Nothobranchius furzeri: one gene and its partner. The protein of the gene in region 2 interacts with the protein of the main gene of each other region in a biochemical or structural test. Links are inferred from orthologs where the notes say so. Each region holds a gene or a part of one and is shown on either strand. Other genes may lie near its edges. The genes, in order: trim65 and ifih1.

Evidence for each region.
Region 1: of the proteins of ifih1 (region 2) and trim65, one has a biochemical effect on the other in vitro, tested with the Homo sapiens proteins (2 studies listed by BioGRID, with this or other methods). The link is inferred for Nothobranchius furzeri from reciprocal best matches to the Homo sapiens genes IFIH1 and TRIM65.

What each region holds. Positions count from the first base shown.
Region 1 is NC_091756.1:21,648,171-21,652,588, reverse strand, and holds the start of trim65 (E3 ubiquitin-protein ligase TRIM65), read right to left. Parts: upstream 3,039-4,418; 5' UTR 2,991-3,038; coding exon 2,984-2,990; exon of another isoform or gene 2,969-2,983; intron 2,856-2,968; exon of another isoform or gene 2,720-2,855; intron 2,623-2,719; coding exon 2,171-2,622; intron 1,310-2,170; coding exon 1,214-1,309; intron 1,121-1,213; coding exon 890-1,120; intron 1-889. UniProt on the Homo sapiens protein: E3 ubiquitin ligase that plays a role in several processes including innate immnity, autophagy or inflammation.
Region 2 is NC_091754.1:19,531,188-19,535,515, forward strand, and holds the start of ifih1 (interferon-induced helicase C domain-containing protein 1), read right to left. Parts: upstream 3,104-4,328; 5' UTR 3,057-3,103; intron 2,984-3,056; 5' UTR 2,974-2,983; coding exon 2,482-2,973; intron 2,361-2,481; coding exon 2,186-2,360; intron 2,000-2,185; coding exon 1,901-1,999; intron 1,522-1,900; coding exon 1,471-1,521; intron 1-1,470.

The DNA of each region.
Region 1 (4,418 bases), on a different chromosome or scaffold from region 2:
TGGAGTTAGCATGTTCTCCCCACGCCTGTGTGGAGTTAGCATGTTCTCCCCACGCCTGTGTGGAGTTAGCATGTTCTCCCCACGCCTGTGTGGAGTTAGTATGTTCTCCCCACGCCTGAGTGGAGTTAGCATGTTCTGCCAACACTTGTGTGGAGTTAGCATGTTCTCCCCATGCCTGTGTGGAGTTAGCAAGTTCTCCCCATGCCTGTGTGGAGTTAGCATGTTCTCCCCACGCCTGTGTGGAGTTAGCATGTTCTCCCCACGCCTGTGTGGAGTTAGTATGTTCTCCCCAAGCCTGTGTGGAGTTAGCATGTTCTGCCAACACTTGTGTGGAGTTAGCATGTTCTCCCCATGCCTGTGTGGAGTTAGCATGTTCTCCCCACGCCTGTGTGGAGTTAGCATGTTCTGCCCATGTTCTAAAGTGAACCCTTTCATCACCTCCAGCTGACATCTGACAAACAAACGATCACAGAGTGATTTCATATTCCTCACTAATGGGAGGGTCCAAAGGTTTACATACTTATTCACATTTTCCAGAAAATAACAATTACTCAAAGATTTTAGATTGCAATCAGACTTTTATGTTCTTACTGAAAACAATAATAAATACACAGGGTGTCCCACGCCTCTCATCTGGACTCAGACACCAGCTAGGACGTTAAAGTCACCACTGAAGACTTTACATGCAGTGTTTATGTAACATCTCGGTTTCTTATCATGCTGCCTTAAGGGCTTTTTAAGTATGCATTCATTCTTTATTGACTCTAAAATACTCACAGAAGGACTTCTGGTCCAAAACAACATCAGCAGACCTGTACAGAACCCTGCTCTCAGTCAGGGGGACCGGGTTTAAAGGACTCTGGTCATATGTGAAGACGGAGGTACACACCCTAATGAAGTCGGTGTCAGATAGGGTGCTCAGAGCTGCTATCTGGACCTGGCTCTCTTTGAGAATCTGGGAGTTCTCCATGAGCTGGGCCAGACGCGCCTCTGCCTCACTGATGGCGGTCTCCTTCTGCTCCAGAAGGAACAGCTCTGTGGCCTCCTGCTTCTCACTCAGGGTTTTTATCAAGGTGGAGAACTTCAGCTTCATCCAGGATGAAGTCTGCTCAAGGGACACCTATGGGTGGAGAATCACATGTCTGCTTTGCTGTGTTCTGATTCCAGTTTCAAGCCGGTTCTAGGTCACGTCAGCAGAAAGCAGAAGGTTCACCTTAGCGTGGTTGATGTTCTCAGCCAGGTCGCTGATGCTCTTCTGTGTCTCCTCCAGGAGCTTCTGCACCTCCTTCCCTTTACTGTTCAGCAGCAGCTGTAATGGAAACTGGGTTTTAGGAAGAGACCGTGACATTACCGTACCGTGAAAAATGATTTTTCATCTTATGGATTTCTGACTTTAAGTTTTGGTCGCCTAAAATTTTCAGATAGGCAAATGAAAATGTCTATATCAAACAAAGATTTCACTTATTAGGAAGCAGTAATCCCAGCCAACCCGGTCCCGTGTGGAAGCGTTCTGGCCTCATTTAGAAAGCAGAGTTTAGTTTCAGAGGCCACTCTCACATCAAGTAAGCTAAAAGATTTTAAAAATCAGCACATTGTGTCCTTTTTAAAGGAACCTCTGGTGACCAAACACATCTGGATGTTCTCAAAGACTTCTGGGTAGGACTGATGAGACCAGAGCAGCAACATCTGGAAGGTGAGCATCCCACTCTGGAATCAAACACTAAAGCATGGTGGTGGTAGTGTGATGGTCTGAGGCTGCTCTGCTGCTTCAGGACCTGGACCACCCGCTGCACCTGATGGAACCATGAATTCTGTTCTCTAGCAGAACATCCGGGAGACTGTCTGACCTTTGACCTGAAACAGCCCTTTCCTTCTGTTGTGGCAGAACTCAAATAAGAAGAGGGGAACAAAACTCCTCAGCAGTGATGGGAAAGACTTGCTACCAGTTCTCACCAACACTGGAACCAGTCGGTTTAGGGGATAATTACTTTTCGCTTTGGTCCAGGCTGGTTCGGATACATCCGTAATCTTTATTAACATTACCTCAGGTTACCTTTGATGAAATAGATTTGCAAAATCATGTATGTGATAAACTCAAAAACAGGAGAAAAGTGTGAGACAATGTTGATAATAGCTCTGAATGACTTGTTTGTGTAATCTATTACTATACCTTTTGATTTTCCCTCTCCACCTCCAGTGACTCCTTCTGGTGGTTCTTGCATTCTGAGATGCTGCATTCAGGGCACACAGGCTTCTTGTCTTGTTTGCAGTATTGAACCAGGGGCTTCTTGTGTCGATCACACAGCTGCATGGCTTTTGCCCCATCGCCTCCCCTCCCCTGAGGCTCTCTGCAGGAGGGACCGGTGCTGATTGCAGCCTCCGTCAGGACCGACAGGGACACGTTACGCTTCAGGATGGGCCTGGTGGGGAACTCCTCGTTGCAGATGGGACACTGGGGTCCGATGTCAGACTTGCTCTTGGTGTCCCAGTGAAGGGTGATGCAGTTCTTACAGAAGGTGTGACCACAGGGAATGGTGACAGGGACTTTGAAGCGGTCCAAGCATATGGCACAGGTTAGATTTGAATTCTGAGACTCCATGTTTGCAGAAGAAGCAGAAATTTCTGCAGAAAAAAGGGCAAAAACTTTGATTATTTGATAGCTGTTGGACAATCACAATAAACAGGCGAGATTAGTTAGTACTGCACTGATAGTACTGACACCAAAAGCCTTTATTTCCCAGAACATTCCTATTATCGTAGAGCCAGTGGACACGAAACTAAAACCAAGTAATAATTTACACGGTGAGAGAGAGACGGCCAGCTAGCTAACGTTAGCCTACATAAACATGTTGGCCAGAATTCCTTCCGGTAGCGAATATAAAGTCGGATAAAAATGTTAAAACGGTTCAACTTCACATTCACGCCTGACCACAAGGATATAACACAAGTACACTACAATAACACTCACCACTTCAATACATACCATACATTCATGTCAAAAATGCGTAAGCGTGCGTCATGACGACGTACGCAAACATGGCGCCTTCAGGGGCTGTCGTAAAAAACAAAGACGAGAAAAATGATTTTTTAAACAGAACTTTAATGTGTTCAATAGTCACTGAACCGGGATAATCCATACGTGCAGTTATGATCACAACAGCAATGCTGGTGAATTTGTTCCTCTGATGCTTTTAACTTTATAAAATTTTCTACTCCTACTGATGAGTGTCAATCACCTCCAGTCCTCACGTTAGTCTCAGAGGTTTGTGGACTAATATACGTATTTAAAGAGCAAGTCACCCCCAAACCAACTTTTTATTTGCTGATAAACAACATGAATGAGTGTCTAATCGTGCTGCAGACATGTGTAGTAAATAATTTGGAACTTCAGTGCATTTTAGTTAAATTTTAAATATTCTGCCTAAAACTGTCAGTGTTGTGCTGTCGTCAGGTAAAAACTGCACTGTATTTGAATTTAAATCAGCCACCGCTATTGGCTAAGAGGTATGCTACGATGTAAACTGGTACATTATGATGTCACAATGCCATTGTAAGCCTGTGTGTTTGTGTATTTGTTAGCAGCTCCGCCCTCTCGGTCTGCCAGGCAACATTTGTTGCATTTTTTCAAACATTAAGTGGGAGTGAAGTAAGTCTCTTGTAGGGGGTGCTATTTTAAAGAGCAAGTCACTCCAAATCAACATTTTTTTTGTTGATAAACTATATAAATGGGTTTCTGATTGTGCTGCAGCCACGTGTCGTCAATAATTCGGCATTTTAGTTCATCTTAGTTAAAATTTAAAAATTCTCCTTAAAACTGTCAGCGATGCACCGTCTACATTTGAATTTAAATCTGCCATCGCTATTGGCTAAGAAGTACACTATGATGTTAGATGGTACATTATGATGTCACAATGTCGTGAGTGTGTGTATTTGTTAGCGGCTCCACCCTCTCGGTCTGCTAGGCAACAGCATTTGTTGCATTTTCCAAACAGGAAGTGGGAGTGGAGTAAGAATCTGGTAGGGGGTGACTTGCTCTTTAAACGAAAGCCCTCATAACTGTTTTAGATTCTATGATTTATTTTACTTCTAGATAATTCTTGCACGAACCCCCCCCCCCCCCACACACACACACACACACACACAAACATGCAAGTATTGTACTGATGCCTTGTAGACACTGACAAGTGTTAACATTAAAGACATGAAAGCCCCCATGCCTTTACAGCTGTTGTGATATAATTAATCACTACAAATATGTATTTTGATGAGCAGTGGGTAATTATATACCTACTTATTTGAATCTCATGTAAATGTTGTATGTTAAATTCTAATATGTCATAATTTTTCTTTTTCTCTCTTCTTTTTTTCTAATGTTTATGTTTATTTATTTGGCAGATGCTTTTATCCAAAGCAACATA
Region 2 (4,328 bases):
GGCCTACACTCGTTTGAGGGAGCTGAAGGAGGCTACAGAATCACAGACTGATGGTGAGCTGGCTTTATTGCTACTGGACTCGTAAGTAACAATGTTTTGTCCAGAAGTGTGGATCTTTTTACTTCATAGCTTATTTAATGAGTTAGCTCATGTTAGCGTTAGCTCACTGTTAGCGCTAGCAACAGCATGCTGCAGAAGGGTTCTTTCCTCCGGATGCCATTCCGCTTTCAAACAGAAGGAATCACATCGCCCCCATGCTGGAACAGTTGCATTGGCTGCCTGCTGTTTACAGGATCCAATTCAAAGTTCTTTTCACTTAAAAGTCCTCAATAAACAAGCACCGCAACCCCCGTCTGTACAGCTAAACCGGCATGCCCCAACAAGATCCCTACCTTCTGCATTTGCTGTTCTCCCATATAAATCATGTGATGAACGGGCTTTGCTGCTCTGAAATGATGGAACGCTCTTCCTCTGTCTGTCTATCCGACTCCCTCGCTAGCATGTTTTAACTCTGCCCTGAAAAATCACCATTTTAAAATGGCTTTGGGCCATTAATCTACCTTGACTGTGGGATACTCAACCCAGTAGTACGCCGCATGGTTGAGGTTGTTTGTATGTCTTTAACATGGACAGTTTTCCCCCTCATTGCTTATTTAAATGAGGTTTTACTATTTATTGTTTGTTATGTGTTTTAATCTTTTTCTCTGTTTTGACTCGTTACCCTTCCAGTTCAGCACTTTGGTAGGCTGCCATGCTATTTTAAATGTGCTTTATAAATACATTTGACTTTGACTTTCAACCAATAGGAGAAGCAGAAAACGTATAAAGTGTTGCTTTGAATGTAAGAGTAATATAAATGTACTTTTAACATTCCAACACATAAAAATATTTATTATTATTTAAATTAAATCAACAGTTTCAGTGGAACCAGCTGACATAACTCTGTCAAACAAATTTAACTTCTTAGGAGTGTACTTGTGTCTTTATGGTTTTCCGGCAACATTCCCAAAACCCGGTTGGTCCAAAAATACTTTAAAGACAGAGGAAAAGCATTCTTGTGTGATTGACAGGAGATCAGATCTTCTAACCTCTCCTTCGGTCTCCCCTAAGGAGCTGGAAAGGGAATGAACTTATGACGTAAAAGCCCAGAGGTGTTGTGGAGGGCTGGACTTCACAGATTCCCCTAAAGATCCATTAAAATGGATTCACCATGTGGTTTTCATTTGACGCGCCAACATATTCCGCCCTCTACGACCTCTCTGCGGTTCCTCGGTTAACACATGGAACTTATTTATTGATGCTATAGAAATGTTCCAACTAATTTCATTCTGAACAAACACTATCTTGCATTTTCCTGGAACAAGAGCAAAGTTTTTGCAAGTAGTTTAGTGTGGATAAACAAACAGATTTTCTTTTATTACTAAGTTTGGGGGTCTTAATGCCATGAAATGGAGAGTGAATGAATCCCACCTGGAGGCAAGCCATCTATGCTTTTGGACGGTTCAGCACTTGCATACAGACCTGAAACATAAACCAAGTTTAGTTCAAATAAACTCAAGTGGCTGAATTTTAAACTTTATTCTGGGCTCTGCATGCTGCTATATACAGCTATGTAACAAAACGCGAACCCCCACCTGCCCTACTAAACTTGGTGCTGTCTGTTCAAAAAATACATTTGTATTCATTCTTAATGTTTTAATCAGACACAGGCTGATCCTAAAATATCCAACAAGGCAGTACCACGGGATACTTTAGCGTGATTTCTGCACAACAGAAGCAGCTGGAGATCAATCTTTAAATACATGCTAAACTAAATTGTGTGTCTTCTGCCCTCTGGTGGAAGATGATAATACTGAAAATGGACAAAATCAACTATTATTATTATTATTATTATTATAACCTGTTGAGTCATTATCAGGCTCCTCTGTCACACTGATCTCCATAGACACTGTGTTGTCACAGCTCACTGCTTCCTGACCGGAAGCTGCACCTGAATGACCTGCAAGTCCATAGTTAAAGATGGTATGAGTATATTAAGACATAAACTTTAACAAAAGACAACAATAGAACTATCTGACATTATAAAAAATGTGAATAGCTATTGATACTGATTGCTTAGATGAATTAAAGATGCCAAAAGTGTGCAAAAAAATTGTCTCGTGATCAATGAGTGCTCCAGTCTCACCCTGCTGCTCACACCAATGTGGGTCTCCGGTCAGTTCTCTAAGTAGGGGATAGTGTTCTGTTTTTTTCAGAACTTGTAGAAATGTGGAGAACCATCCAGGTGGGCGTCTCACGATTCTCCTCAGAAGTTCCCCGGCCCCACGTCCGGGTCCTTGAGTATCAATTTCAGCTAAAACCTTGATGTAAGTTTAGACACAATAAGTGGATTTATTCACCTGAACAGAATCCAAGACTGCGTTCTGCTGCCATCTAGTGGCCAAAGAGATAAATGCTACTCAGACAACTGAATGGACTTACCTTGTCGTTGTCGTCCTGGCCGAGCAGCCCCAGAGAGAAACACTCACAGCAAACGTCAGCTGTCTTCATTTGAACAAGACTTGGAGCCAGTAACCTCACAAGTGCTACACAGTAGTCATTCTCTTCCTCTTCCTCGGGTTTAGGAGAGCCTTCCAAGACCATAGCAGCGTATTTCGAATCTCCATGTATTAAAGCGTCCACGAAGGCCCTGAACCAGCCTTCAGGGTGTGGTTTCTTAAGGACAACGTCAATAAGTTGGTTCGCAGCAGATGCATCACCCTCTGTCTTCAGCTTCTGCAAAATCCGCTCCTTATCTTCATGTGAAATAAAATATAAATGGTTCAGCACCGGCCCCACTGATATCTTTTCCTTCAGTCTATGTCTGAAGGTTTTAATGAGCTCCTCTTGCTGTTCGTCCTTGTCAGGCTCCATGATCCGGAGTCGCTGTCTTAAGTTTTCAGCGAGCTGCTCTTCACCCCTGTCAGGCTCCATGATCCCTCACCTGTCCGAGAACAACACACCTACAGTCATGAAGAGGTTTAAAGACACGGGGAACGCCTTAAATGGTCACTTACCGCCCTCGTGTTTTCCAGGAAAACAGCTGTTTTGTTTCACTTTCGTTTGAGCAGAAATCAAAACCAAAATATGCCACTAGGTGGCACTGTTGCAACACAATATTTTTACAAGTCCCAGAAAATCTGAATCTCACACTTCTGTAAATGCAAATCTACTTTTGTATCATTAGGGCTTTTCTATTTAAGTGCAGAACATTTTCTGTTATACTGCTTAAATTATTTCTTCCATTGATTTTCCCATTCCCTGTAAATACTCTGCAATTTGGTTTCATTTTTTTATTTCTTAAAACATGTAAATATTCAATATTTCTATGTTTATTTATTTTATTTTAAAAGTATGTCTGCATTATGCTTTCTTTTTTTTTGCTCTTTATTCTTTGTTTTTTATTCTCCCTTTTGGCTCTGTTGTATAGTAACACAATAAAGGACCCTTGATGTGAGTGGAAGTGTCTAAATATAGATGTTGGCCCTATAAAGGGTTAATGCTTAGTAGTGCACTTAGTAATGTTAGAAAGGGACCCTTATTGTAATGTGTTACCAATGTAATTGCTGCTGCGACAGCTGTGTTGTCAGTCGTTTCCAAATCTTTCTGCAAACAGTGAATGCTGTTTACACAGATCAGGAGGAAAATAAGCTTTCTCTACGGTGCAATTCCCCCAAAAACCTGGTTGTAGAACACATTACAAATTATGTTGAACTTTCATGTCATCAGTTTCAGGAAAAAAAATCTTTTGACGATGTTTAAAGAGCAAGTCATCCCCTACGAGAAACTTACTTCACTCCCACTTCAAGTTTGAAAAATGCAACAAATGCTGTTGCCTGGCAGACTGAGAGGGCGGAGCCGCTAACAAATACACCCACACAGGCTCACAATGGCATTGTGACATCATAATGTACCAGCTAACATCAATACAGTGCAGAGTTTTTACCTGACAACGGCACAACACTGCCAGTTTTAGGCAGAATATTTAAATTTTAACTGAGATGCACTGAAGTGCCAAATTATTGACGACACGTGTCTGCAGCACGATTAGACACTCCTTTATTTAGCTTATCAGCAAAAAAAAGTTTATTTGGGGGTGACTTGCTCTTTAAAGTTTGTCTTCTGCCCCACTTCACTTCAACTACACTGTAAAAACGTGGCTCCAGTTTGTTTAGTCTATCTTACATTTCAGTTTAGACCTTCAAATTCCTGTTCAGAGTCATTCTTTATGCCTTACGTAGTCCAAAACCTCTCATCTCAATTCTTTTCCATACATTTAAAGGTTCATA